7 linked regions of the Oryctolagus cuniculus genome follow. Each later gene encodes a partner of the first gene's protein in a complex. Links are inferred from orthologs where the notes say so. Each region holds a gene or a part of one and is shown in the gene's direction. Other genes may lie near its edges.

Evidence for each region.
Region 2: KAT14 (region 1) and KAT2A share a complex: the UniProt entries of both Homo sapiens proteins name them as parts of the ADA2A-containing complex. The link is inferred for Oryctolagus cuniculus from reciprocal best matches to the Homo sapiens genes KAT14 and KAT2A.
Region 3: KAT14 (region 1) and TADA2A share a complex: the UniProt entries of both Homo sapiens proteins name them as parts of the ADA2A-containing complex. The link is inferred for Oryctolagus cuniculus from reciprocal best matches to the Homo sapiens genes KAT14 and TADA2A.
Region 4: KAT14 (region 1) and MBIP share a complex: the UniProt entries of both Homo sapiens proteins name them as parts of the ADA2A-containing complex. The link is inferred for Oryctolagus cuniculus from reciprocal best matches to the Homo sapiens genes KAT14 and MBIP.
Region 5: KAT14 (region 1) and TADA3 share a complex: the UniProt entries of both Homo sapiens proteins name them as parts of the ADA2A-containing complex. The link is inferred for Oryctolagus cuniculus from reciprocal best matches to the Homo sapiens genes KAT14 and TADA3.
Region 6: KAT14 (region 1) and DR1 share a complex: the UniProt entries of both Homo sapiens proteins name them as parts of the ADA2A-containing complex. The link is inferred for Oryctolagus cuniculus from reciprocal best matches to the Homo sapiens genes KAT14 and DR1.
Region 7: KAT14 (region 1) and SGF29 share a complex: the UniProt entries of both Homo sapiens proteins name them as parts of the ADA2A-containing complex. The link is inferred for Oryctolagus cuniculus from reciprocal best matches to the Homo sapiens genes KAT14 and SGF29.

Annotation. Positions count from the first base shown.
Region 1 is NC_091442.1:43,070,543-43,074,589, forward strand, and holds the start of KAT14 (cysteine-rich protein 2-binding protein), read left to right. Parts: upstream 1-1,247; 5' UTR 1,248-1,372; coding exon 1,373-1,631; intron 1,632-4,047. Other genes in the region: protein PET117 homolog, mitochondrial, read left to right, coding at 934-1,083. UniProt on the Homo sapiens protein: Component of the ATAC complex, a complex with histone acetyltransferase activity on histones H3 and H4. May function as a scaffold for the ATAC complex to promote ATAC complex stability. Has also weak histone acetyltransferase activity toward histone H4.
Region 2 is NC_091448.1:20,670,861-20,674,945, forward strand, and holds the start of KAT2A (histone acetyltransferase KAT2A), read left to right. Parts: upstream 1-1,285; 5' UTR 1,286-1,350; coding exon 1,351-1,689; intron 1,690-1,829; coding exon 1,830-1,953; intron 1,954-2,206; coding exon 2,207-2,352; intron 2,353-2,439; coding exon 2,440-2,529; intron 2,530-2,712; coding exon 2,713-2,894; intron 2,895-2,974; coding exon 2,975-3,166; intron 3,167-4,044; coding exon 4,045-4,085. Other genes in the region: HSPB9 (heat shock protein beta-9), read right to left, coding at 1-289. UniProt on the Homo sapiens protein: Protein lysine acyltransferase that can act as a acetyltransferase, glutaryltransferase, succinyltransferase or malonyltransferase, depending on the context.
Region 3 is NC_091448.1:38,175,175-38,178,674, forward strand, and holds part of TADA2A (transcriptional adapter 2-alpha), read left to right. Parts: intron 1-1,473; coding exon 1,474-1,584; intron 1,585-3,419; coding exon 3,420-3,491; intron 3,492-3,500. UniProt on the Homo sapiens protein: Component of the ATAC complex, a complex with histone acetyltransferase activity on histones H3 and H4. Required for the function of some acidic activation domains, which activate transcription from a distant site. Binds double-stranded DNA.
Region 4 is NC_091443.1:39,322,967-39,327,134, forward strand, and holds the start of MBIP (MAP3K12-binding inhibitory protein 1), read left to right. Parts: upstream 1-1,368; 5' UTR 1,369-1,458; coding exon 1,459-1,587; intron 1,588-4,168. UniProt on the Homo sapiens protein: Inhibits the MAP3K12 activity to induce the activation of the JNK/SAPK pathway. Component of the ATAC complex, a complex with histone acetyltransferase activity on histones H3 and H4.
Region 5 is NC_091441.1:116,929,346-116,932,845, forward strand, and holds the end of TADA3 (transcriptional adapter 3), read left to right. Parts: exon of another isoform or gene 1-177; coding exon 178-287; exon of another isoform or gene 288-582; coding exon 583-768; exon of another isoform or gene 769-1,699; intron 1,700-2,334; coding exon 2,335-2,527; 3' UTR 2,528-3,080; downstream 3,081-3,500. UniProt on the Homo sapiens protein: Functions as a component of the PCAF complex. The PCAF complex is capable of efficiently acetylating histones in a nucleosomal context. The PCAF complex could be considered as the human version of the yeast SAGA complex.
Region 6 is NC_091438.1:77,320,208-77,324,352, reverse strand, and holds the start of DR1 (protein Dr1), read left to right. Parts: upstream 1-1,345; coding exon 1,346-1,565; intron 1,566-4,145. UniProt on the Homo sapiens protein: The association of the DR1/DRAP1 heterodimer with TBP results in a functional repression of both activated and basal transcription of class II genes.
Region 7 is NC_091450.1:7,541,753-7,545,961, reverse strand, and holds the start of SGF29 (SAGA-associated factor 29), read left to right. Parts: upstream 1-1,409; 5' UTR 1,410-1,628; intron 1,629-2,839; exon of another isoform or gene 2,840-3,005; intron 3,006-4,122; exon of another isoform or gene 4,123-4,209. UniProt on the Homo sapiens protein: Chromatin reader component of some histone acetyltransferase (HAT) SAGA-type complexes like the TFTC-HAT, ATAC or STAGA complexes.

The DNA of each region.
Region 1 (4,047 bases):
ATATGGACACCAGTTCGAGTCCTAGATGCTCCACTTCTGATCAGGCTCTCTGCTATGGCCTGGGAAAGCAGTGGAAGATGGCCCAAGTCTTGGTCCCCTGCACCCACATGGGAGACCTGGAAAAAGCTCTTGGCTTCCATCTGGCCCAGCCCTGGCTGTTTCGGCCATTTAGGGAGTGAACCAGTGGATGGAGGATCTCTCTCTCTCCCTCTCTTCCCCCCCCCCCCACCTTCTCTCTCTGTAATTCTGCCTTTCAAATAAGTAAATCTTTATATAAAAAAAAATGGAGCAGCTGGGGCTTGAATCAGCACTCTGATGTGGGATGTTGGTGTTGCAAGCAATGCTTAACTTGCCAAGCTGCAACACTGACTTTGGCCTTTTTATTTTATTTTTTTTCTCTGCTAGTAGCATTCCTTTTCCCTCCCTCCTTTTCTCTGTTATATAATTATTAATTTTGTATAATTTTTACCATTTCACTTTTCTGACTAGAAAAGCTGATTCTTGTATTAATTGTTCAGACTAATATTTTTTCTTCTGGTGTTTATTATTCAAGCTAGGATGATTGCTAAGGGAAAAGTAGTTCATAGTATTACTGTAGCAACTCACCAAGTTTTAAATATATCATATATTGGTTAAACTTTTTAAATGCAACATAGTGCCAGTTTTTTCTTTTTTGTTATTCCCACTAAATTTTCTGTACTAGGTCTTCAGGAATTTCTTTAAAAGTGGTACAAAGTCATTTCAGTAATAAAATAGCACACCACCAAATTTATTTGGTGGTTTATTACATTTTACATTTGTACAGAAAGTTAAAATAGTAATTGGGTATCTGTTTTAAGCGTATTTTGGTAACACTGTTATTTGGATTTGAAAGGCACCAGGGTGGGAACACCTGTTCGGGGTGTTACTGAAATCTGTTTCCTACGTTTTTAGAGGCTTCGTGACGGAGTGATCCGAGACATCGAGAGGCAAAATCGGAAAAAAGAAAACATTCGTCTTTTGGGAGAACAGATTATTTTGACTGAGCAACTTGAAGCAGAAAGAGAGAAGATTTTACTGGAAAAAGGCTCTCAGAAAACATGATTTGAAATGACGGTGAACTGTTGGAAGGACAGCGTGCAGTGTGTGTGTGTTGATGGAGAATAGCTTAAGGACCTTTTTTTGGTCATTGTCCTTGTAAACTTATCAAATAGAGGATAATGGATCATATAATCTACAGTGCTGCTGTAAAAATTCCTTCTGTCTGAATGAAGAAGCCGTGGGCGGGTGCCCTCCTGAGGAGCTTCTGTCTCTGTGGGAGCGCATGTCAGCTCAGCGCTCAGAGCGTAGGATTGGCGCTGAGAAGCACTCCTGAACCTGTGAGAAGGAAGGAATGGATAGCAGCATCCACCTGAGTAGTCTGATAAGTCGACACGACGATGAAGCCACGAGGACGTCCACCTCGGAGGGGCTGGAGGAGGGGGAAGTGGAGGGGGAGACGCTCCTGATTGTCGAATCAGAGGATCAGGCATCTGTGGACCTGTCTCATGACCAGAGTGGGGATTCCCTCAACAGCGACGAAGGAGATGTGTCCTGGATGGAGGAGCAGCTGTCCTACTTCTGCGACAAGTGCCAGAAATGGATACCAGCCAGTAAGGAGCTTCTCCATTGCTTTGATTTGTCAATTCCGGTGTGAGGGTTTCTTTTTCCAGGATAGGAAAGAAACATGAATGTAAGATAGACCTAAATGAAAGGATAATTATCATATTATTTAGTTTATTAACCACAAACTTACATAAAACGAAGGTGCTCTTGAATTAATAAAAGTTATTATCAACCTCTTTCACATGGTTAAATTAGTACTCTTAATAGTAAACCAGTAAAAATTGGAAAATTGTAAATCCTGTGTTAATGAATTAGCCACATTTTTCTAACATTTGTGACCAAATCTAATCCCATTGTAGATTTCTTTGTTTTTTGTTTAAAGATTTATTTTATTTTGAAAGAGCTACAGAGAGGGTGGGCTAGCACTGTGGCTCACTTGGTTAATCCTCCGCCTGTGGCACCGGCATCCCATATGGGCATCGGGTTCTAGTCCCAGTTGCTCCTCTTCTAGTCCAGCTCTCTGCTGTGGCCCAGGAAGGCAGTGGAGGATGGCCCAAGTGCTTGGGCCCTGCACCCGCATGGGAGACCAGGAAGAAGCACCTGGTTCCTGGCTTCAGATCAGCGCAGTTCTGGCCGCAGCGACCATTTGGGGGGGGTAAATCAACGGAAGGAAGACCTTTCTCTCTGTCTCTCTCTCTCTCACTGTCTATAACTCTACCTGTCAAATAAAGAAAAAAAAAGAAGTAAATCAAAATGATCTGCAGGAAGAGTCAAAGACTATGAGGAAGGGGTAGGGGTGGAGGGGAGATTTGTCAGAAACAAAAGAAAGTGAAGGGAGGGGGGCTTGGTGTCGAGAACCCCTCACGTAGGAGGCACCAAAACACCAGCACTGTGGTGCTGAGCTCAGAAGGAACTCGGAGCCAGTCCATCAGAGCCCCCTGTCTGCCCAAGACGCGCCACACACTGGCCCCGGATTTACTCGGGCAGTAGACACACTAGAAGATGTCCAAAAACAAGGTCTCAGCGTCTCCTCCATGTGCTCTGCCTGCTCCTGGGTGCACTGTCTATAACTCTACCTGTCAAATTAAAAAAAAAAAAAAAAAAAAAGCTACAGAGAGGGAAAGAGAGCGCTCTTCCATCTGCTGGTTCACTCCTCGGATGGCCACAACCATGAGGGCTGGGCCAGACTGAAGCTGGGAGCCAGGAGCTTCCTCTGCTTTCCCACGTCGGTTGCAGGGACCCAGACACTTGAGCCATCTTTGCTGCTTTTCTCAGGCCATTAGCAGGGAACTGTGTCAGAAGTAGAGCAATTGTTAGAAGAACTGGTGCCCATTTGGGATGCCAGCCTTGAAGGTGGCGGCTTTACCAGCTGCACCACAACACATTATAGATTAAAGTTCAAGTTCTTGAAAAGTACCCTGTTAATATTTAACTATGTGGAAAATGACTGCTGTTTGCTACAGCTCAGCATGAGCAGGTTAAAGATGCTTGTGCCCCTTTCCTGGGGTGGTCTTGTTTCTCACCTTCTGGCCTGCCCCCATCTGCCAGCACACGTATTCCCAGGTTGCTTCATTCTGAGCTTTGCCAGCCATCATGTGATTCGTACCCAACAGGACTGGGCCATTAGGCAAGGGCTTGAAGAGCTGTAGGTACTGGAGGAATGCTTTTGCAATAGAATTCATAACAGACAAATTTATATGTATGAAGGGTCTTTGAACAGTTATGGAAAACTCATATTATGGAAAAGCTGTACCTGGATCTCAAAACTGTTTTGCACCCAAATAAACTTATCTTTTAATTCCATTTTCCCCGAGCTTTCTGAAGTACCCTTGTGCATGATTGTGAAGTGGGCCATTTTCTGGGATTTGGAAATGTTTTTGTTAAAATGGGTTCAGCTATTCCGATTAATAGTTGCCATTTGTAAGTTAATGATGGCATTTTCACAGAAAACATGCCTGGAATGTGCTGCTTACTACTGGCTGTTGCTTCTGAGCTGTCCCTAGCGATTCAGGGTTCTGCTGAGCGGCTTTCCCTGTCCTTGCAGGATCAGTGCCTCGCTGCTCTCATGGTCAGGCCCCTGCTATCGCCCTTGGTTCCTCCATCCCCACACAGAGAGAGAGAGCTTTGGGAGAGCTTTCTTGTGCCGAGGATGTGGCCTGTCCTGTGTCTCCTCTGCAGTCTGTGTGCCCTCCCCTGCATGCACAGGCTCGCCCCTTCACCGGGCCAGCTTCGAGTTCTCCCTCACGTGCCCCTGGGACCCAGCCCTCTCTTTCTAGCTCCCCTGTCTTCTTATTGGGTTGGACACCCTGTATTGTGCCCTCACACTGCCCTGTGGTTGCATCACACTCCACTCCCGTGTCTTCATGTCACCTGGGGACTGTTAGGCCGAGGGCCGGGCGCCACTCCAGAGATGGATTCTTTTTGTCTGGGGTAGATCCAGGCACGTTTAGAGAAGCAGAAAGC
Region 2 (4,085 bases), on another chromosome or scaffold:
TGCGGTAACCACCCAGTCCCGGGTTGCCGTACTCCCACTGCCGCTGGCCGGTCACCGTCAGGTTCTGCCCAGTCACCTGCACCACCAGCTCCTCGGGGGCGAAGCCCTGCGCGTCCATCTTCATTTGGAAATCGTCTGCGGCCCGGCCATGGTCCTGCACAGCGGCCGGGTGGTCCCTCAGCAGCTGCACCGGCAGTGTGGCCACCTGATTGCGTTCAGCGAGGGCCACACTGGGACTCCTCGACGCCACCTGGTTCCCGTTGGAGAAACTGCTGCCGACCCGCTGCATCCAAGTGAGCAACTGCTCTTCAGGGGCACGAGGCTCCGAACGCAAGGCCCGAGCTCGGCCAGGCGTGTGGACTCCAAGGAAACGGGAGCGGGGTCCTCACGAGGCCCCGCGCGGCTCCCCCGGGTCGGGTTGGGTCGGGTCGGGTCAGGCGGGGGCAGCTCATTCCCTTTGACTTCCGCAAACTTCGGCTGGGTCCGGGGTCAGCTCTGCCCGTCCTGCCTCCAGGAGCGGGCTGTCAGTTGCTCAGGAGCACCCGCTATACTTTTACCCTGGCCCTGCCCTTTCTCCACCACGGCACAATGGAGCCACTGAAGAGGCTGGACGCCGGGAGCAGACACTCGGCAGCCACCGACCGGCCAGGGGCAGGGAAGCCCATTGCTGGCAGAGACAGCGGGCGGGGTCCTCCAGGTCCTCCATCGCGGCGTGCCCTGCTTCTCCCTGAGCACACGCACGAGGGAGGCGGGCACATCCCTCCCTGTCCTCGGGGTCTGGGGCCACAAAGATGATGGCGCGGGCATCCCGCGTCCCAGTGGTTTTCCTTGTCGCTGCTGCGACCACAGCCGCGCCCCTGGAACTCTGTGTTTTGATACTAAATTCTCTCCGTTGAAGGATAACAAAGTGCACAACGCAGTACAGGTGGATGGTACACAGCGCACGCCCGGGGTAGCCACCGAAGCTCAGAGCTTCGGCCACGTCTCAGCCCCTGTGCGGCTGCAGCCCCGCGTCTGGGCCTCACGGGATGGGGCCTCGGCCCCCGTGGGGGGCGCCTATTTCCTGGGATGCACCTCCCTGTCCCTAAGACGGCAGCAACCGGAGCCGTCCCGGACGCCTTCCAGATAAATTGGGAGCCAGGAAGTCTGGGGTGCTAGCTGGGGCTCCCCTTGGCTGCCTGGTACCAAGAGAAAGGACGGAAAAGTCTGGAAGCTGGAGGCCAGGGGCGCGGCGGTGGAAGACTACAACTCCCGTCGTGCGTCGGGCCTGTGGCGCCTGCGCACTGCGCACCGGTTGCCCATGCGGCCCTAGGGCTGGGAGCGCGGCGCCGCTCCGCTGCGGGGGAGGCCATGGCGGAACCTTCTCAGGCCCCGGCCCCAGTCCCGGCTGCGCAGCCCCGGCCCCTTCAGTCCCCAGCCCCTACCCCAACTCCTACTCCTGCGCCCAGCCCTGCTTCAGCCCCGACTCCGGCTCCCACTCCGGCACCAGCCCCCGCCCCGGCTGCAGCCCCAGCCGGGAGCACAGGGACTGGAGGGCCCGGGGTAGGAAGTGGGGGAACCGGCAGCGGGGGGGATCCGGCGCGACCTGGCCTGAGCCAGCAGCAGCGCGCCAGCCAGAGGAAGGCGCAAGTCCGGGGACTGCCGCGCGCCAAGAAGCTTGAGAAGCTAGGGGTCTTCTCCGCTTGCAAGGTGGGGGCGGGGCCTAGGGTGAAAGGGGCGGGGCTTGAGGGCATCCCTGGGCTCGGGTGGGAATGGGGGGCGACGCTCTGGACGCTTAGCGGCCCCTGCCCCTGGGGTGCGGGGGTCGTTGACTTATCTCCTGCCTCCAGGCCAATGAAACCTGCAAATGTAATGGCTGGAAAAACCCCAAGCCCCCTACTGCTCCCCGCATGGACCTGCAGCAGCCTGCTGCCAACCTGAGCGAGCTGTGCCGCAGCTGTGAGCACCCCTTGGGTAAGGCAGGCAGCGCCCTTGCAGGTGGTGGGCGCCAGGTGCTGGGGCCTGCTTGGACAGCCTGATTTCGCTGCCAGGAAACCTCGTCTCAGGACCTTAGGAGGTGTGGGGTTGGGGGCAGGCAGGCCGAGAGGGAGGAGAAAGGGAAAGTGCCAGCCGGGAAGATGCGGGGCCACCTTTGGAAGTCTTGGCTCCCTGCCGAGCAGGGCGTCCATGCCTCCCCACCCCGCGGCCCGGGCTGGCTGTCTTGCAGCTGACCACGTGTCCCACCTGGAGAATGTGTCAGAGGATGAGATCAACCGGCTGCTGGGGATGGTGGTGGATGTGGAGAATCTGTTCATGTCGGTGCACAAGGAGGAGGACACGGACACCAAACAGGTCTACTTCTACCTCTTCAAGGTGAGCTTCCGCGAACGGGCGTGAGTGGGGGGCAGGGGGGCTCTCAGTTCTGATGCTCCCTCCCTCCCTCCCTCCCTCTTCCTGCAGCTCCTGCGCAAATGCATCCTGCAGATGACCCGGCCTGTGGTGGAGGGGTCCCTGGGCAGCCCCCCGTTTGAGAAGCCTAATATTGAGCAGGTGGGGTGGGGCACGGGGAGCTGGGTCCTCCCTCCTGCTCTAGCTGAAAATCAGAGGGGATCAGCCGGGGGCGTGTGTTCTGTGCTGACTGCAGAGTGGGGTGGAGGAGGGGGGGCACTTTGTCACGAAGCTGGCTTCTTAGCCCTCCTCCCTGGATTTGTTCCCCACCCCACCCCTTCCCAGGGTGTGCTGAACTTCGTGCAGTACAAGTTTAGCCACCTGGCTCCCCGGGAGCGACAGACCATGTTCGAACTCTCCAAGATGTTCCTGCTTTGCCTTAACTACTGGAAGCTGGAGACGCCCGCCCAGTTCCGGCAAAGGTCCCAGTCGGAGGATGTGGCTACCTACAAGGTCAATTACACCAGGTAGGCCCTGCCCGGGCGGGGGCTGGGGGGGGATTTGTAGACCTCCCCATGTGCTCTCACCCTGCTGTCCCCACCCCCAGGTGGCTGTGTTACTGTCACGTGCCCCAGAGCTGCGACAGCCTGCCTCGCTACGAGACCACTCACGTGTTCGGGCGAAGCCTCCTCCGGTCCATTTTCACTGTTACCCGGCGGCAGCTGCTGGAGAAGTTCCGAGTGGAGAAAGACAAGCTGGTGCCGGAGAAGAGGACCCTCATCCTCACCCACTTCCCCAAGTAAGGCTCGTTCCGGCCCACTGCGAGTTTGCCCCAAGTTCACGTCCTCCCTGTTGTCCCCTTTTTTCCAGGAAGCCTTCCTGGATTGGTCCCTCCTCTCCCTCCATGGGCCTTCTGGGATCTGGGCGTCTACCTGGCAGACTTGCCCATGGCCCAGAAGCAGCTTGCTAGTAGTTGCCTTTGCACGGCCTAGTCTGGGGATGGCAGGTACATGGCCCCGGCTAACGCTGCCCCTCCCACACCCTGCTAGGCGTTACTAATTGTTTCCCATGGGGGCCTGGACCCAGCCTCAGAATCCCTCCCACCACAGAGCTCCAAGAAGCCAGCGCTGACACCTGAGGTGACAGCAGTGTCCGCCCCGCGCTAGTCCTTTCTGTGCCAGTGTCCCCCCGTGTGCCACACCTCTCTCCCATCTTAAGCCTGGCTCGTGACTTCTCTGTTCAGAGAGCCTTGGCTGTCAAATCCGGGCCCCTGAGTGCCCCTGCCACCAGGTGGGAACAGGAGGTGGTGAGTTGGGGTGGATTCCTAGTCATCTTGATGCTGCGGGGAGCAGGGGGACCCAGGGGGACGTGGTGCCCTGCCTGGCTACGGGGTTGGTATTTAGCTCGGGCCCTGTGGCCCTGTGCTGCCCGAGATGGCCAAACTGGGCCCCTTTGCTTGGTGTGTCCGAAGCTCTCACCTTGCATTCGAGGCTCCCGGGAGCCAGGGGGCCGTGCCTGCCCCTGTGGCCAGGGCTTCCCGCAGGGCAGAGCTTGCTCTCAGACGCGCCTCGCAGGGTCTGTCTCTGGCCACGGCACAGCCGCAGCCCCCCGGGGGCCCGGCCCAGGCCGCCTTTGGCGGGAGGGCGGAGTCGTGGACAGACGGCGCCCTCCCCCCAGGTTCCTGTCCATGCTGGAGGAGGAGATCTACGGGGCCAACT
Region 3 (3,500 bases), on another chromosome or scaffold:
CCAGATGCAGGGCTGAGGAGAAGCCCTGTTACCTCTCAGAATGTAGAAATGCCAAGTGCATTTTGTTTTCAGTGATATTCAGTTGCCACTATACTGAATGAACTAGTGACTGTAGTATGGTAGGTGGGTTTTTCTTTTTTTCTTCAAATTTTTAAAATTGTACTCCAAATTCTTCTGTGGTATCCCCTTAGTGAGGACTATTTTTGAAGTCAAAATAACCAGACTGTGGCTCCTCATCAAATTCATTTTTGGTATTTGTGGATAAAAATGTCCCCTATGGGGCTGGGGCTGTGGCATTGTGGGTAAAGCCACCGCCTGCAGTGCCAGCATCCCATATGGGCTCTGATTCGAGTCCCGGGTGCTCCACTTCCGATCCAGCTCTCTGCTATGGCCTGGGAAAACAGTAGAAGATGGCCCAAGTCTTTGGGCCTCTGCACCCACGTGGGAGACCTGAAAGAAGCTCCTGGCTCCTGGCTTCAGATCCGCCCAGCTCTGGTTGTTGTGGCCATTTGGGGACTGACCAGCAGATGGAAGACCTCTCTCTCTCTCTCTGGCTCTGCCTCTGCCTTTCTGTAACTCTGTCTTTCAAATAGATAAATAAATCTTTTTTAAAAAAATAGGAATGTCTCCTGCAAGGGAACAAAACGATGGATCTGGAAAGCGGATTAATTTAGATAACTGTCATCAGTGAAAGCCTGTATCTTTAGTCCAAGACTAAAGTCCATTGCCCTGTTGATTATCTAATTGAGATCAAATAGCAGCTCGAGATATCCTGGCTATGCTGACCTTCCAGCTGTTGGCAGTCGCCCCTCACCTTGGCAGAAACCTCTTTTGGTAAGAAGTTTGGTCAGAAGTGGTCCTGAGAGTTGTTGGCCCTGGTTACCCTGCATGTGTGACCATTTACTTGGGCCTTAGTGGTCACAATATAGCATCATTAGTAGTGAATTACATTGCAGTGCTTAATTTCATTTAGAGAAAGGCAAAATGGTCTGCAGGGGGGATGAAGAAAAATTCCTCATTTGAGGATGTGTAGGTAAGGAGAACATTCCAGGTAGGGTATACAAGAGAGCACACACTTTTTCCCAGCCCATATAGCTCCTCTAGTGGGCTATTGTGTTTGCAGATTCCTAATTGCATAAATTTGGCTAGCATTGTTTCTAAGAATGCAAAATCTGCCTTTATGTTATCGCTCCAGCCCCCCTTGCCAGCAGTTCCTGCCCTAACAGTGAAGTGTGAGAGTGGAGATGGTCTAGCGATAACAAGCCCTTTGTGTGGTAGCTGCTGTGATGCTGTGACTGTTAGGAGTAGCGTTTTGGCATTCTTGGCTTTCTGTTTGCTTCCTGTCCTGGGTACGTTAGTCATGTGAGGTTAGGACTAATATCCTTCCATTTGACTTTTTATTTTTTTTAAATGCAGAAAATGTCAGGATCCTCACGTTCTCCACGACACACTTGTGTTTTATTTTCTCTATAGTAATGGAACGGCGGTATCCCAAGGAGGTCCAAGACCTTTATGAAACAATGAGGCGATTTGCAAGGATTGTGGGACCAGTGGAACATGACAAATTCATTGAAAGCCACGCACGTAGGTGGTTTTAGAGCCTTGTTGAGCTGGTATCTGTGTGTGTGTATGTGTGTGTGTTTATATAAATAGAGGGTGTGTTTTGTGTGGAGTTCTGTAAATAAATAGATATTTCTCTTTGTTCCTTCTTATTACTATGAGATAAATGTGAGACTGTGGGAATACGACAAGAGAATAGAAAAGTAGAGGTAATATAACGAACTCCATGTTTCTGTATTGAAACTAGGTTTTAAAATGGGAACAGAATTAGGTAACTCATAGGAATAGTACCTTCATCATTCATTCTCTTGCCTTTCGTACCCCTAAGAGAGCTCTGCCCAGTTACCATTTCATTTTCAACAATAAAAAACCAAAGTGGTTAAGGGATCAAGACCTTTCAGACCAACTCAGTTAGGAGGCTTAGTCTGTATCGTTCATCAGGAGTTTGTGTATTTGGTTCCCAAGCTTTAGTTTGTTTGTTTTTTTTTTTTTTTTTTTTTTTTTTTTGACAGGCAGAGTGGACAGTGAGAGAGAGAGACAGAGAGAAAGGTCTTCCTTTTGCCGTTGGTTCACCCTCCAATGGCCGCTGTGGCCAGCGCACCGTGCCTATTCGAAGGCAGGAGCCAGGTGCTTCTCCTGGTCTCCCATGGGGTGCAAGGCCCAAGGACTTGGGCCATCCTCCACTGCACTCCCTGGCCACAGCAGAGAGCTGGCCTGGAAGAGGGGCAACCGGGACAGAATCCGGCGCCCCGACTGGGACTAGAACCCGGTGTGCCGGCGCCGCAAGGCGGAGGATTCAAGCTTTAGTCTTGAAAGGTTCTCTTCCAAGGCTCTCCATTTTGTCCTCTTGCAGCTACTTCTTGTGTAACATTGCAAGCATTTGTCTGAGCCAAGTTGATTGTCCTCACCAACACCTTCTTTGGTTGGCGTTCTTGATGTCATTTGTACTGAATGCCTGATCGTTTACTTCCTGTCCCATTTTATGTGTCACTTCAGAAAACCACACCCCATAGGTGCCTAGGCTCTCCTTTGTCCTCTGCTTCAAAAGCACCCACATGTGAGTGTTGTATCATATCATAGCAACATGACCTGTGTTCAGAGGAGGCAGAACCTTTTGGTTTGTGGAAAACACAATGCTCTTTTGTCACTACAGGAGAAGAGCTCTGAAGAAACTAACTGGGGCTCACATACAGAGCTTTTGTCCTTCCCTTGTGCAAGGGCCACATTAAGTAATCCCAGAGATCTCATAAAATCTCAGTCAAGTGAGTAGAACTTTCAACAGAAGATAGGTAGAGCAGGAAAAACTCGGGGACTTAAAAGATGACATTCACGGGACAGGCGGCTGTCACTGCTTGGGACGCCTGCCTGGTTTGAGTGCTGGTTCCTCTGCGTCCAGTCCAGCTTCCTGCTAATGTGCACCACAGGAGGACGCAGATGGTAGCTCGGGGACTTGGGTCCCTGCCACCCCTGGGAGACCCAGGTAGAGTTCCAGGCTCCAGACTTCAGCCTGGCCCAGCTGGCTGTTGTAGGCGTTTGGAGAGTAAAGCCGGGATGGAAGATATTTCTCTGTCATTTTGAATACTGTTTCAGGTTATATCGGTAGCTCTGGTAGACAGATGAGTTCAATCAGTTCGCTGTAAGTTTTGTAGGAAACAAGCCATCTGTCTCTTAGAGACAGCAGCCAGAAGAGGTTTTCTCAGCTCTTAGGTAAAATTTCTAATGAGAAGTTATCAGCAGATAGGATTCCCCAAGTGAAATTGCCCAACCTTTTCCAAAGCAGAATGACTGAAAACACATAGCAGAAGTGCTCATTCATATTGGTTATTTTTTTCAATTTTTCTTCTTCTTGGGGAAAACAGTGGAATTTGAGCTCCGAAGAGAAATCAAGAGACTCCAGGAATATAGGACAGCGGGCATTACCAATTTTTGTAGTAAGTATG
Region 4 (4,168 bases), on another chromosome or scaffold:
GAAAACTTCTAAAACTTTCAAGTGATAATTTTTAATGTTAAGTCTAAAACATTAGCAAGCCCTTCAAACACCTTTATAAAAATCAATCTGAGAATGTTTTTGCCAAGTTTAATTAGGTTTTATGCCCTTCTAATTCAAAGATTGTGATCTGTGTGAAATTTAACCTGGGTTAAATTCCTGTTGGAATCACATAGACAGTGTTTTACTTCTTTGAAACAATTTAAGGGTTGAGCATCTTTAAAGTTACCACTCAACTGCTGCACACTTTAAAACCTGACAAATTATTTAGCAGATATGTTCCAGGACAACCACCCCAAACTCTTGGAGCTGTCGTTATAGAACCCCCAAGTCTGGGTCCCCTCCCAGGGGCAGCTGTTGCCATTTCCCTGCTGGAGCTCCCCCGGGGAATTTGGGGTGTTTTTTTATAGACTGAAATTGGAGCTGAGAGGTGCAGGGTCAGCTCATGCTCAGGTTCCCGGTTGGTCAGTGTGCTAGTGAGTTTTCTTTGATTGGTCTGTGATGCTGTGCTCCTTAGAGAATTTTTTTGATGCCCAGGTGGGCTTCTGTTGGCCTAGGAGAGGTGAAGGTGGGGCTTACAAGCAAATGGTAGTTTCCTTCTACTCCAGACCTGGAATTCCCCTAAACAACTCCTTCCAAGCAGTGCTGGCCAACAAGGGACTCCTTGAGTCCTGTGAGTGGAACTTTGTCGGGTCAGCTGTATCTCTCCCCAGTTCAGTGAATTCCTTTTGATACCCGACAGGCAAGGACACCTTGGGCTCCTGGAGACAGACAAGAGGCTGGGCCCTGTCTTTCCATTATAGGGGTTCAATCTCAGATCACAGTCAGTCAAGTCACGTCGTCCCCCCCATAGAAAAGCAAGGCATAATGGAGCACAGTGTTCTTTTACCTCCTCCTTTCCCCTGTATGAAAAATTAGTTGTGTTGACTTGTGTACGTTTTAAACAGCCCTGTAGAGTTGTGCACGTTCTATCCACTTAGAAGTTTCTTAGTGTTTAGAAACACGTGTGGCACCCACCCATTCTGACCAGCAATCTTTCTCCAAACCACGCCATACTGCCTTGTTAAAATTTCGAATGTTAACTTGGGGCCTCAAACTCTTAACATTAAAATCTAACTCTCCTCTTAACCAACACTCAGAAGAAACCTTTAAGAGTCAAAATAGGCTCCACGAGGCTGTCAGCTGACTACAACCCCAATCACCGCTCCAAATAGAGAATCTAGCCTGGCGCCAGTCAGCAGTTACCAGCTTGGCGCAAAGCTGTAGTTAACACTTGATTGGTTAACATGCCTGTCAGTCACACGGGGTAGGTGGGGCCGCAAGCCCTATCTAAACGAGACGCTTTGTTTTTACGTCATCGGGGAGCGACGAAAGCAGGAGAGGGAGGGGTGGAGTAGTGAGTGCATCTCGGCGTTGGCGGGGGCGGCTTGCGAAGGTGTCATGGCCGCTGCTACCGAGCTTAGTTACCCGAGCATCGGTGACAGGGACCTGGAACGCAGCTGCAGCCCCAGCCTCTCCCGAGAGGTGCTCTGCGAACTCTTTCGCTCTCTGCACACCCTGGCTGGACAGGTGGGTGGTGGCCCGGGGAACCGGGGCAGTGGGCCGTCCGCCCTTCCCCCACTTGTCCCTGTGGCGGAGGCCGGCCGGGGGGCAGCCGGCGGCGGCCGTGCCCGCCCTCGCTCGGTACCGGCTGCGGTCCAGATGACCACGCTGCTGTCCTCTCAGAGAGGGAGCGAGGGTGGTCCGAGGGGAAACCCAGTGGCCCGCGGAGCAGGTCTGCAGGGAATGGAAGCAGAAAAGCTTCCGTCGGGGTTTAGGGGTGCCTGCTCTCGGGGTCTTGTTCCCGGCAGCTTACTCCTTCGAGAAACTGGGTGGTCGGTCAGTACGGACTGAAGTTTTTGGAAAAGCGACCCTCTGAGTCACTTGGTTTTCTTTCTGGTTGCCCTGTGGGTGTGTGCCCATCTGTTACACTTTGCATCAGGGAGTAGAGTAAAACGGTTAATCAACTTCTAACTTAAAGTTGCTGTTTGCGGTAGAACTGCCGTCTGACGAGGTGTTCAGGAAGGAGTTTAATTGGCTCGTAAACCGCTTTTGCAGACCTACCTTATAAAATGGATTTTAAAAGGTGGGTTCTTAACACTGATAGTCAGTATTGAGATTCAAGCTGTAAACTTCGGATTGAATTTTAAACGAGGAATAGCCTTGCGGTGTGTTTGTCTGCCTCTTAGAAAGAAATAATTTCTTCCTTATCTTACGGAGACAATATTTTACTGTAACTTTGTTCTGGGACTGTTACTAGTGCATGTGGTGAAAACAGGCATTTGTGTCAAAGATAAGTTCCTATGAAATTGGAGCATTTGTCTGAATTCTGAAAATTCCCTTTTAAATCCTTGAGGGTATGGAGAGACACCTTTTTAAAAAGCTGTTGGAGTATTTTTAAAAAGCTTGGCATGTTGTGGCTTATAAAGAACATTACTGTAAGTAAGCATTCTGTTTTGTGTAATGAGGCAGTTATTAATAGAGTCTCCTAAGTGGTACACCTTGTAAACTCGGTGGGTTGCCAAGGACGTGGGTACTTCTGATGGTTATTAGAAGACCAAGGACCTTTTAAATGGTTGAAAAGTTACAGAACTTTTTATGGCTTGGACATTGGAACATTACATTTTATTCATATTCTGATATCAGGTTGAGAAAAATGTATGGTCATCCATTATTTGTAGAGTTCCTCCTGCCCCAGTGATAGGATATTTGTACAAATTCATACTGAGAGATAATTTAAACATTGCTTTTGAAATATTTGCTTGTTGAACTTTTGAAACTTTTAAAAATTTTAATTCAGATATTCTAATAGTACAAGTAGAAAATTGATTACAGTTTACTTGCGTCACCTGTCAAAAATGTTTAGGGTAAAAATTTGGTGAGGTTTTCTTGACATAGGCAAGGGACCTTCTATATAAGTATCAAAAATATGATTGCCTCTCAATTCACTGCTAACCATTTTGATGACAATCTGTAGTTTGAGATGTATTGTTTAAGAATGAAAGTCAGAGAACCATGTCCACATCAGTGTTTCCTTTTGCAATAAGTTTAAAGTTTTTTTAGCATGTATGTTGTTATATGCCCAAGTTCATACTAGATATCATCGTATTATTAACTCTCAGTTGGAAGCATAAAATTGTATGTTTTCTATTCCAGATGGCAAAATTTACTAATTTTTATCCTTAATGGGCTTATAGATGGTTCATTTTACCAAACTAAATTTAATGCTTGCTCAGATTTTCATAATTTAATAAAGTTTTACTGAAAGTACAGATTTAAATAGTCCAATTAATTGCAAACTGATAGACTTTTGACTGGTTTACTATTCCAAGTTTAAGAGAAAAATGCATAGAATTTATTACTAAAAGGGAATTTGTTGACTGAATTTTGGATAAATTGGGATAGTTTTAGAACGAATTTGCAACATTATTTTGTGGTTTTCTTAAAAGACCAAGTATCCTTAATTACCCTTAAAAGCTTCCATTATTAATTGAAATGAAGTTGTAATCCAGACATTAGGATTTATTTTCTGTAAGGTGTTTTCTCCAGAAGATGTGTTGCCTTGCCTTGGTTGAGGATTTCTTTGCTTTCTTCCAAAACCACATCCATCAATTTATTGTAACCAACTATAGATCTCTTTGAGGGCTGTAAAATTTTGGTATTGGGTTACTTCTGTACATGATAGCAGATGTCTGACAAAATTGTTAAAGTCACTATAATATTAACTAATCTTTGTGTACAGTTGTCTAATATTGGACTTTAAATGCTTCTGGTGTCATGTTCAGAGAGCGGTAAGGTTCTGTCACATGTGTTCATTCAATATGGTGTTTTTATTGGTAACCTTGAATCTGATTTCTTGCATAGTGATTCATCTTTTTGTTTTATTATAATTATAGCTCATAAGATCTGTATTTGAATTGGATGTAACACCTTTATTTATAGAAAAACGTTATTTCTGAAAAATATAGTTAAATTGATTCTTAAACACATGTTCCTAGAAAAGTTTCTGGTGATTCACTTTTCACTCAAAGATTGCAAATGGCGGTTTTCATTCTAAAGTAGATATTAGCTTTATAGATTTTTACCGTTTTCTAAATATGATTTTGTTCTG
Region 5 (3,500 bases), on another chromosome or scaffold:
CCCCTACCACCACCGAGGGTCACCACCGCTCCCCTGTCCCTGCCAGAGCGAGGGACTTCCGGCGTGAGGGACGCTGCCCGGGTCCATGAGGGGAGCTCTCGGGGCCCCGGGGCCGGGGCAGGCAAGGAGAGCAGGTTGCTGGTCTCTGAAGGCTGTCCTGTCGCTGCTGCCTTCCAGGAAAATATCATCTCCCCCATGGAGGACTCGCCCATTCCTGACATGTCTGCGAAGGAATCGGGGGCCGACGGGGCCAGCACCTCCCCCCGCAATCAGAACAAGCCCTTCAGGTGAGTGTCGTCCTGTGCACACCCACAGCTGGCACCCGCATCCGTCCGTGTTGGCATCAGGAAGGCCCCCGCCTACAGGCCAGGGGCAGTTCAGTTGTGCCCGGGAGAGGTCTCGGGTGGGAAGGCTGGCCCGGGGCTCCGACCCGGGCGGAGCGAGGTCGTCCGTCGCACGCTGACAGGATGCTGGTGCCGCGGCGGCAGCCCGTGTCTCCGTGTTTCTGTGTCTGGATGCACGGCGCGGGCGGGCACCTCCGAGGCAGAGACCCCGGCTGGCACTGGCGTCCTTCCCCGACAGTGTGCCCCACACCAAGTCCCTGGAGAGCCGCATCAAGGAGGAGCTGATTGCCCAGGGCCTGCTGGAGTCGGAGGACCGCCCCGCGGAGGACTCCGAGGACGAGGTCCTGGCCGAGCTGCGCAAACGGCAGGCGGAGCTGAAGGCCCTGAGCGCGCACAACCGCACCAAGAAGCACGACCTGCTGAGGTGAGCGGGCGCCCCTGGAGAGCCGAGAGCAGCAGCAGGTCCCGGGATGGACGGGCGGCCCCGGTCCTTACGGTGAGAGGGGCAGGCCGACCCTCGTGCCCGTCGCTCCACGCGGGGCGTAGCAGCAAGGACGTGCGTGCTCCGCTCTGCTGAGCCTCCTTGTGCCGCTCGGTGTCACGCCCACGTGCGGTCACAAAGTACTTGCGACAGAAAGTCTCGAAGAGTGGGTGCCGTGCGCAGGCTGCTCCGGTGACACTGGTGGACATCTCTGGTTTTTATTGGCCCATCACCAGAAACCACCCAGTGCCGTGCGCTTCATCACCTCCCGGCCACCTGGGGCCGCGGGGTCCCCGTGAGGACACAGGTGGCAGCAGGAGGGAGACGGCGCCAGGAGCTGCCCTCCCTCCTGGGAGGCAGTGCAGCAGCCGGGAGCCCGGCCCCTGGCTTCTCGCAGGAAGGTGCCATGTCTCGGCCTCACACAGCTCCTCTCTCACACGCTGGGCTGGGGGCTGGGGGCTGGGGGCTGGGAGGAGGCAGGCAGAGGACTTGCAGGCGTGCTTAAGGGGAAGGAGACTCCTTCAGTCCCAGCCAGCCCGGGTGCCGGTGTTCCCCGTGCTCAGCAAGTGGTAGAGGAGCCTCCTTCGCTGGAGGCCACACAGCTGGCAGACAGCCCAGCTGAGGCTCGAGCCCTGCACAGCGTCTGATTCTTTATAGTCCATGTTCCTCCCAGAGATGAGGAGACACGCAGGTGAAGGAGGAAGCAAGGGAAGAGAGAGAGGGAGAGGAGAGGGCGTGCAGTACGGAAACACCTCGGGGGCCAGTGCTGCGGTGCAGTGGGTACGCTGCTGCTTCCTACAGGGGCGTCCAGTATCTGAGCTCCGGTTCCAAGTCCCAGCTTCTCTGCCTTCTATTCGGTTCCAGGCTAACGCACCTGGGAAAGCAAAGGAAGATGGCCCAAGTGTTTGGACCCCTGCACCCATGTAGGGGAACTGGATGGGGTTCCAAGATCCTGGCTTCAGCCTGCCCCAGCCAGTTTTACTTATTTATATGAAAGTAACAGCTACAGAGAGAGAGAGGGAGAGACAGATCTTCCATCTGCTGCTGGCTTATTCCCCAGAGATGCAATGGCCCGAGCTGAGCTAGGAGCACCATCTGTGTCTCCCATGGGGGTAGAGACCCAGGCACTTGGGACATCTCCCACTGCTTTTCCCAGGCCATTAGCAGGGAGCTGGATCAGGAGCAGAGGAGCCAGGGCTTGAACCACCACCCTAAAATGTGGGGCTGCCACTGGGAATGGAGGCTCACCCGCTGTGGGTCAGCGCCAGCCCCGGTGCAGATACGTTTTTAAAGACTTATTTTTCCCGAGGGGTTTGAAGTTCATAGCAAACTGTAGAGGAAGGGACAGATTTCCCACATAGCCTTTCCACACCCACGCACAGCTCCCCCTGTGGCCAACGTGAGTTAATATTTGAAAGAACTTAGAGTAGTGCCCAGCGCACAGTGCCAGTGAACCGTGGCTCATCGCCTTTGCCGTGGTCATGGGCGCGTGGCCGGCTGTCCCCACAGGCTGGCGAAGGAGGAGGTGAGCCGCCAGGAGCTGAGGCAGCGGGTTCGCATGGCCGACAACGAGGTCATGGACGCCTTCCGCAAGATCATGGCCGCGCGGCAGAAGAAGCGGACCCCCACCAAGAAGGAGAAGGACCAGGCCTGGAAGACGTTGAAGGAGCGCGAGAGCATCCTGAAGCTGCTGGACGGGTAGCCCGGGCCGCCTGCCCCGCCTGGGTCTCCCCCCCCCACAGCCTGGGGCTCCCCTCCCCTGCAGCCTGGGTCTCCCCTCCCCTGCAGCCTGGGTCCCCCCTCCCCTGCAGCCTGGGTCTCCCCCTCCCCTGCAGCCTGGGTCCCCCCTCCCCTGCAGCCTGGGTCTCCCCCTCCCCTGCAGCCTGGGTCCCCCCTCCCCTGCAGCCTGGGTCCCCCCTCCCCTGCAGCCTGGGTCCCCCCTCCCCTGCAGCCTGGGGCTGCTCACTGGGCCTGACAGGCAGCCTCCTGGGGACGGGGGATGGAGCCCTGCGGGAGTCTCCTACAGCCGGGATGACGGGGTCGGGTCGCAGGAGGCCCTGCTGGGCTGGCCTCGGGCCCAGCTCCTGCTCAGTCCCTGGAAAGGGGCGGGGCTTCATTTCTGGCTCTTTCTACTCCCCTTCTCTGCATCCCCCTCCCTGAAGCCCCACCTCCCCTCCCCCTCAAGGACTTCTCCCTTGTGGTTTTGTAAAGTGCAAACTTAAGAATAAAGTGACTGCTGTGGTTTTTCAAAAAAAGCATCCACACTCTGAATGTCAGCTGCTGTGGGTGGGAGGAAGCGGGGGGCGGGGGGCAGTTTCGGGGCGTGCACACTGGTGCTCACAGGAGGAGCTCTGCGGACACGTAGGGCTGCAGGTGACTGCTGCCAGGGGCTCGTGGCTCAGGTTCAGAGGTCCGGCAGCTCAGCAGCGCCGCCGCGACTCGGGTGTCTCCACGTGGCCTCCCCCAGGGTCAGCTTCGGCCTCGGGTGGGTTTCCCTGCAGCTACTGGGTGGCAGCAGGTCGCGCTCAGCGCAGGAGCGAGCAGCAGCTGGCTGGTCTCACAGCTGGTTCCCCAGTCACTGTGGCAGGAGATGGTGCTACAGGGCTAGGGTCAGAGTGGGGCCTGCTACCCTGCTCAGCCCCGGCCTGGGGGAGAGAGAGGATCTGTGTGGGAAG
Region 6 (4,145 bases), on another chromosome or scaffold:
AATACGTTGCGTCTGACTTCCAGTTTCCGGCTTAGCCATTTCGTGACTTCTCTTAAGTTGTCTCCCATGAAAGAGAAAATAGGTGGAGGCCCTGAGAGCTTTGATCCGAATAACATCAATTACATATCTGCAAAGCTTCCTCTTCAAGACAGTGCAAGCACACGCACGTGGGGGTCTGCTTTCCCCGCTTACCACTCCTGGGCCCAGACCCTGCTCCTTTCCATGTCAATCCCAATTCGGGTAACTGGGTAGATTTCTTTTGACAATACCCGGCCCTGCTTTGTCCCCGAACGCAGCTAACTGACTGTTTCCAGGCCTGAGTCGATCTCCTCTCGCCCGGCCCTCCAGCCGGCCCTTCCCGGGTCTGGCACTGCAGCTGCAGAGCAAGCGCGTGACTGGGACCCCCGCTACAGCGAGGCGCACGCTCGCCCTGCCCCAGCCCTAGCCCCAGCCAGGGAACGGGGTCCCGGGTCCCAGCGCGTGTGTTGGGACAGCAGCGAGCGGAAGCGGCTGGCTGCGAGGACGGGCGGTTCCCGCCCACGAGGGTGGGGGAAGGGAGGTAGCCACACCCGGAAGTCGGTCTGGGAGGTGGGGGAAGCTGGGGGGAAGCGGCTTCCGGTGGCGCAAAGGGTGTCGGGAGCGGCTTCCAGCAAACCTTCTTCCCTGGGCTCAGAAGGGACCACCGTTGCCGCCGCCTCGGCTTCTACGATCTGCGTTCGAGCTAAACGGCCACGCCGGCCGCCCCTGCGGCACCCCCGGTGCCTGGCTCTGTCCGTATTCGTTCCCAGGCGTCCGCCGCGGTTCCAGTAGCGGTCGCGGCCGACATGTTGTGAGGCGGCGGCGCGGGTGTCTGAAGGATGGTTCGGCAGAGGCGGCGGCAACGGCTGCTGGCGGCGGCGGCAGCGGGGGCTCGGGCTCTGTAGAGCCGAGCCCGGTGGGTGTCCGCCCGGTCCTGCGGCGAGGCCAGTGCCCCTGGATCTTGCCTCTGCTCCAGCGCCGTTGGGGACTTGGTTAGGCGACAGCGCCCGCCCCTCTGAGAGGATACCGAAGGTGGTTCTCCAGCCAATTTCCAGACCATCGTGCTTTCTCCTCCCTAGCTTGAGCAGTGCTGTCCCCAGAACCCCCCTCTTCCTCCGACTTTCTCCCCAAACTCGCCCTAAATCACACACCAGAGGGCTCCCCGCCCTCTCGAGGGCGCGCTCCTCCCCCTTCCTCATTTTTCTACACCCTCTTCAGAGCGCCCCCCGGCATCAGGGCGGCCTTTTGACAAATTTCCGTGGAGTAGGGGACCAGGGCCGGGGAGTTTTTTTGAAAAGTCGGGGCGCGCGGGAGACAAGAAGGTACGATGGCTTCCTCGTCTGGCAACGATGATGATCTCACGATCCCTCGAGCTGCTATCAATAAGATGATCAAAGAGACTCTGCCCAATGTCCGGGTGGCCAACGATGCCCGAGAGCTGGTGGTGAACTGCTGCACTGAATTCATTCACCTTATATCTTCTGAAGCCAACGAGATTTGCAACAAATCGGAAAAGAAGACCATCTCGCCGGAGCACGTCATCCAAGGTGAGTCGCTTGAATGGGATTTGGTTTCCGTGAGGGTCCGGCGCGGGGGAAGGGGGCGCTGTTTACGGTTCGTGGGACCGGTTCGTGCCCACGCCTTCGGATCTCTTCCCCGGTGAGTGCTGTTAATGAAAAAGCCACGGGCGCCTGGGAGCAGCTGGTGCCTTAAGAACATACCTGTGTAGCTAGCATTCTTGCCATACCTTCAGCCGGCGAGTACTTGTCGGGAGAACATTTAGGTCAGCGAACATCCCTACGAGGGAAAGTGTTGGTGGGGGTCTCCATCTGCAGCCGGGGAAGCCAGAGCAACCACGATTGGCAGCCCCAAGTGGGAGTTGGAGAAGAAAGACGAGTGGGAAAGGAGCCCAGTTCTTCTCCCTTGGAAAGTTAAAGTTCAGACAGAAACTTCAGGCATGAGCGGAGTCCCAGCACAACAATGTGGACGAGAAGATGCACTTTCTGATTACATGAATAGCAGAATTCTTTACGTGAATGTTTTTAAAAGAAAAGTTAATTGGTGTTGAACAAAGGGAGTGTATTTTCTCCTTTAAAAATGGTTTGCTTGTGGTAGGTTCATCAAGTTAGTAATGCACGCCTGTTCAGTTTTCTTTAAAAAAAAAAAAGGGCGAGTGTTCTTTCTTTTTTTGTTTGTTTTTGCTTTTATGTTGCTTGCTTTATTTTTTGGGGATAGATTTTAAAAACCTGGATTGAAAGATTATATAAGAGATTTTTTTTAAATGGAACATTTCCCCGTCCTTCCCTGCTTCCATTCCCATTTGGATGTAGCACTTAAGTTTTTATTGAATAGCACTTCTGAAAGTTTCAATAGTTCCTTTTCTCCAAACTTGGAAAGGATTTAGTCCGGTATTATGGAATTGGGAGACTGGATTTTGATGGTTTTAGCGAGGGGTGGTGTACTTACAAGTCACAGTGTTTTGGAAGGCACTTTCTATGACTTGTACATGTACTCTTAATGAAAAAGTTTGAGGTGAAAACTTGTTTTTTATAATACCTAATTAAAATCTAATGATTGATTTTGAAATCAGAAAAAAATCATGGTTAATTTTAATCATTTTGACAGACAGGCAGTTGTCTACAATTTCAATTTTAGAATTTAACTTTTTAAAAGGTGACTTTAATGAAGTACAGAACATTTCTGCTTTTATTGATCATATCCAATCTTTTATTGTCAATATTGATGAAAGGATTAAATGATTCATTGTTGATTCTTTGTGATATCCTGAAGGTAGTTCTAAAACTTTTTTTTTTCCTTCATTTTATTTGAAAGACAGAAAGACAGAGATCTTTCATCGATCTGCTGGTGGTTCACTCCCCAAATGCTCCCAGCAGACCAAGGCTGTGTCAGACCAAAGCCAACTCCATCTGGGCCTCCCACATGAGTGACAGAGCTGCGCTGTGGCACAACGGGTTAAGCCACCATCTGCAGTGCTGGCATCTCGTATGGGCTACGGTTGGAGTGTTGGCTGCTCCACCTCTGTTCCACCTCCCTGCCAATGGCCTCAGAAAAGCAGTGGAAGATGGCCCAAGTGCTTGGGCCCATGTACCCACGTGGGTGGACCCAGATGAAGCTCCTGGCTCCAGGCTTTGGCCTGGCCCAGCCCTGGCCATTGTGGCCATCTGGGGAGTGAATCTTCTTTTTTTCTTTTTCTAACCTTCAAATAAATAAATATATCTTTAAAAAAATACTGGAGCCATTACCTGATGCCTCCCAGGTGCATTAGTAGGAAGCTGGATCCAAAGCAGAGAAGTCAGGACTTGAACCAAGTACTCCTTTAGGTGATGTGGGTGTCGGAAGCGGGGACCCAACTGTTTTGCCAAATGCCTGCCCTTTCAGTACATAATGAGGAAAAAAATCCCTAGGAAAAAAATCATGTTCGATTTTTAAAGCTAATATTTTTTTTTCTACCTGGTTGGTGTGCTGAATACTACAGCAAGTAGAATGAAAGCCAAGGTGTCTATTTTTCCTCTTGTGTTTTTATTTTTACAGTTGTATGCGTGATTGCTGTCGTCAGTCTTTCACAAGAGTATTCAACACAGATAGCTATAATTTTCCTTTGCAACTCATAAAAAAGGAAAAGGATCTCTTGTAAATATTGCCTTTCTAATGAAAGTTGCAAAAGATTTCAACAGGATCTGGCTAAACATTTGTTTACACTACAGAAGTAGGGGTCATTCCAAAAATCTAATAACACATTACAGTCTGTCTTGGGAGAAAGTTTGTTGTTTTCTAGGATATATTTAGATTTCTGATTGACATGATGGAGTAAAAGTGCAGCTGTAGTGTGCTAAATAGTTCAACTTTGGAATATGTTAAATTCAATTTAATGTATGAGACAGAAAGTTACAGTGAAAGCATTTTCCTTGTGTAATAAGGATGATTTATTAATTTAAAAATTATTAGCTTTTATAGTTTTATACATTTATCTTTTTATTCCTTGTGGTATTACTATTGTTAAGTGGTAAGAATCTGAAATTTTGTCCCAATTGGTGGATAAATTTTGTATGATTATAAGCTCATTGCTTAATAATTTTAAAGTAGTTTTGTTTTGAGAGGTTAAAATT
Region 7 (4,209 bases), on another chromosome or scaffold:
CCTCCACCTGTGGCGCCAGCACACCAGGTTCTAGTCCCAGTTGGGGCACCGGATTCTGTCCTGGTTGCCCCTCTTCCAGGCCAGCTCTCTGCTGTGGCCCGGGAGGGCAGTGGAGGATGGCCCAAGTCCTTGGGCCCTGCACCTGCATGGGAGACCAGGAGAAGCACCTGGCTCCTGGCTTCGGATCAGTGCAGTGCACTGGCCGCAGCGGCCATTGTGGGGTGAACCAACGGAAAAGGAAGACCTTTCTCTCTATCTCTCTCTCTCACTGTCCACTCTACCTGTCAAAAAAATCAATTAATAAATATATACTTTCCTAGGGGTTGTGTAAAAAATTGTGATGCTAGGCCGGCGCCACGGCTCACTAGGTTAATCCTCCACCTTGCGGCGCCGGCACACCGGGTTCTAGTCCTGGTCGGGACACCGGATTCTGTCCCGGTTGCCCCTCTTCCAGGCCAGCTCTCTGCTGTGGCCAGGGAGTGCAGTGGAGGATGGCCCAAGTCCTTGGGCCCTGCACCCCATGGGAGACCAGGATAAGTACCTGGCTCCTGCCATTGGATCAGCGCGGTGCGCCGGCCGCAGTGTGCTGGCCGCGGCAGCCATTGGAGGGTGAACCAACAGCAAAGGAAGACCTTTCTCTCTGTCTCTCTCTCACTGTCCACTCTGCCTGTCAAAAAAAAAAAAAAAAATTGTGATGCTATAATGTGGGGCAGGCGTTTTGGCTGAGCAGTTAAGAGGCCACTTGGGCTGCCCACATCCCACATCAGAGAACCTGGGTTTTGGCTGGGCTCTGCTCTCACTTTCAGCTTCCTGCTAATGTGCACGCGGGGAGACAGCAGATAACAGCTCAAGTAGGTAGGTCTGTGCCACCCACGTGGGAGACTTGGATTGAATTCTGGGCTCTTGATTTCAGCCTGACCCAGCCTTGGCTATTGCTGGCATTTGTCGGGTGAACCAGTGGACGGGATATATCTCTGTATCTCTCTGCTTTTCAATTAACATAAATAAATAAAGTTTGCAAAATACTATGACCGCCTTCTGATGAACTAAATATTTGCATGTGCATATCCTTAATACTTTGGGAAGACTCCCTGAAAGCATGATTTCTGGCTCTAAATATCGACATGTTTTTTAATTAATCCTTGCTTTTTAAAAATCTGCCTTTATTTTTCCAGAGCATTTTTAGGATCATAGCAAATTTGAGCTAGAAAGTTTCCGTATATCCTGCCGTCCCCCCAACCACAAGATGCTCACTCTTAAATTGCTTTGCTTTTTGTTTTAAAATTGAGGCTTTTTGAGAAGACGCTAAAATAAATCAATAATAAATAAGTCTTGCAAAATGAAGTTTCAGTTAAGAGTTGGGCACAGGTGTCAAACTAAAAACTACATTTCCCAGGGGGCAGCGCAGCACGTCACGGCGGGAGGGTCGCGCCTGCGCAGACGGGTCCGCCGCGCTCGCCTAAGCTCATAAAAGGGAAAAAAAGCGTGTGTGGTTCTCGACGTGCCGCGAATCTTCGAACGCGAGTGCGTTAGCATCCGCAGGCTCGGAAAAAGCGTTCGAGGGACCGCGCCTGTTTCTCCGTCGCTGTTTCCAGCGCGCCGAGGTTACTTCGCCCGGGACTCGGCAGGTGGGCATGGGTCAGGCCCGCGGCCGCCGGAGAGGCTCGGGAACCAGGGCACCGGGTCCTTCCTGCGCGCCCCCGTCCCCCGTCCCGGCTTCGCCTGAGGGGGCGCTCGGTGGGGTGCGGCGCGCACGCGCCCTGGGCGGGAGAGGCGGGGTTCGGCTCGCGGCCGTGGCGGCGGGGCCCGCGGCCGGGCGGCGTGGGGTCTGCGCGTGCGCCCTCGGGCCCCGGGGCGCGAGAGTGGGGAGCCGCGGCGCGCGCAGGTGCGGTGCTCGGCCAGGTGCGGCCGGGCGAGGCGAGGGGCGCGGCCGGGACTGCAGCATCCTTGCTGAACCAGTGCCAGGGTGGGGCAGCGCACCCGCCAGCCCGTCCACTGTCCTGACACCTGCAACCACCTGGTTTGCGCAGGTGTGTCGCCCAGGGCCAGCACGCTTCCTCCTCAGAGCCTCTAGCAGCAGCGCCCGTGCGTGGCGGGAACGCCTCTCCCCTTGTCCCGCTGGCCGCCCCTTTGCTTTTAATGCGTGTCCCACCCCAGAGCTGCATCCCAGATCTCTTCTCTGTGGCTGTCCGCTCCCTAGACATTCCCGATTGACGCTTTAAATACCCTCTGCGGTCCTGCCAACTTCTTGGATGCCTGTCTTCAGCCCGTGGACTCCCTGCGGAGCGCGCTCCCTGCTTTGAAATGGCTGCTTGGCCTCCCGGAATGTGTCCAGAGCTAATTTTGAGTTTTATCCTTTGCACATCGGTGCCTTCCCTCGTCTGTCTTGTTTTTCCAGCTTCTCGGGCTGGAAAGCTTGAGCTATGCCTGGTGTCTTTGCGTCTCAACTCCCCTCCTCCTCCATCCATCTCAGTCAATGTTGATTGAGGCTTTGAAATTTCGCTACTTGATGGGTAGCTGTGGGCATCCTCTTGGCCAGCGGCTGAGTCCTCTCTGACTGGGGTTTGTTTTTTTGACATCTGGCATCATTGTATGTTCAGACTTGCCTGGTCCTTTTTTGTCTCTTTTAGTGCTTTGTGTTACCTGCAAGTAAGTTTTTGGAACTGTGTTGTATTCCTTTCTGGACTGTGTCCCAGGTCTTCCATTGCTGGTTCACTCTCCAAATGGCCACAATAGCCGGAGCTGTGCTGATCTGAAGCCAGGAGCCAGGAGCCAGGAGCCAGGAGCTTCTTCTGGGTCTCCCATGTGGGACTTGGGCCATCTTCTACTGCTTTCCCAGGCCACAGCAGAGAGCTGGATCGGTAGAGGAGCAGCCGGGTCTTGAACCAGCGCCCATATAGGATGCCACCACTGCAGGCGGAGGCTTAGCCCACTACGCCACAGCGCTGGCCCCTCCTTGTTACTTCTAATCTGTCAAGGTTCTCCAGGGGCCAGCACATGGCACAGTGAGTAAAGCTGCCGCTTGCAACAGCAGCGTCCCACATGAACGCCTGTTTAAGTCCTGGCTGCTCTGCTTCCCACCCAGCTCCCTGCCAAAGCACCTGGGAGGCCAGTCGGTAATGGACCAAGTGCTTGGGCCCCTCCCACCCACGTGGAAGACGGGGATGGAGTTCCGGCTCCTGGCTTCAGCCTGGCGCAGACCCAGAAAGCAGCCATTCGGGGAGTGAACCACAGGTGGAAGATTTCTGTCTATCTTTTCCTTTCTCTCTGTCACTCTGTCTTTCAGATAAGCAAACAAATTTTTTTTTTTTTTTTTAACAATGTTCTCCAGAGAAACAGAACTGAACAGTTCTCTGTAGTTAACACAGAGAGAGATGTGTGATGATGGCCTGGGTCACAGGACGGTGGAGGCTGAGCTGCCGTCCATGACTCAACACCTGCGCATTCGAAGCCCAGCAAAGCCAGTGCCGTTCCAGTGCAAGCCCAGAGGCCTGAGAACCAGCAGGCTGGGCGATGCCCATGCTGGAGGCACCCTCCCAGACCCACCTGCAAACAGTGTCTCACCAGGCAGGTTGACACATAATAGGCACCATCACATTTTCCTGTCTCTTTTTTAGTTGCCATGGTGATCACCATTTTTCTGGTGACACTTTTGGTATAGTCACAATAACCGACCAGTTGATGGGTGGTGTGTAAGAGACGAAATGCTCCTACTTCTGTGAGTTGTTTTAGGACTGAGCACGTTGAAGTTGTGGCAAAATTGGAGTTCAGAGGAAGAGCGTAGGTTTTAGAATTGGCAGCCTTGTAACCCCACCTCAACTGCTTTTTGCTGTTACCTTGTTAAACGTAACCCGTCTGAACCATTTTTTGGTTGGTTGGTTTTTTTTTTGTGTTTTGTTTTTTTTAGTATTTATTCATTTATTTGAAAGGCAGTTTTAGAGAAACAGGGAGAGGTGGAGAGAGGGGTCTTCCATCCATTGGTTCATATCCCAAATGGCTGCAGTGGCCAAGACTGGGCCGGCTACAGCTGGAAGCCTGGAACCACATCCAGGTCTCTTCCCAAGTGGGTGCAGGGGCAGGTACCTGGGCCGTCTTCCACTGCTTTCCTGGGCTCATTAGCAGGGAGCTGGATTGGAAGCAGAGCAGCTGGGACTCAAACTGGGGCTCGTGTGGAGTTGCTGGTGTCACGAGCAGCAACTTAACCTGCTG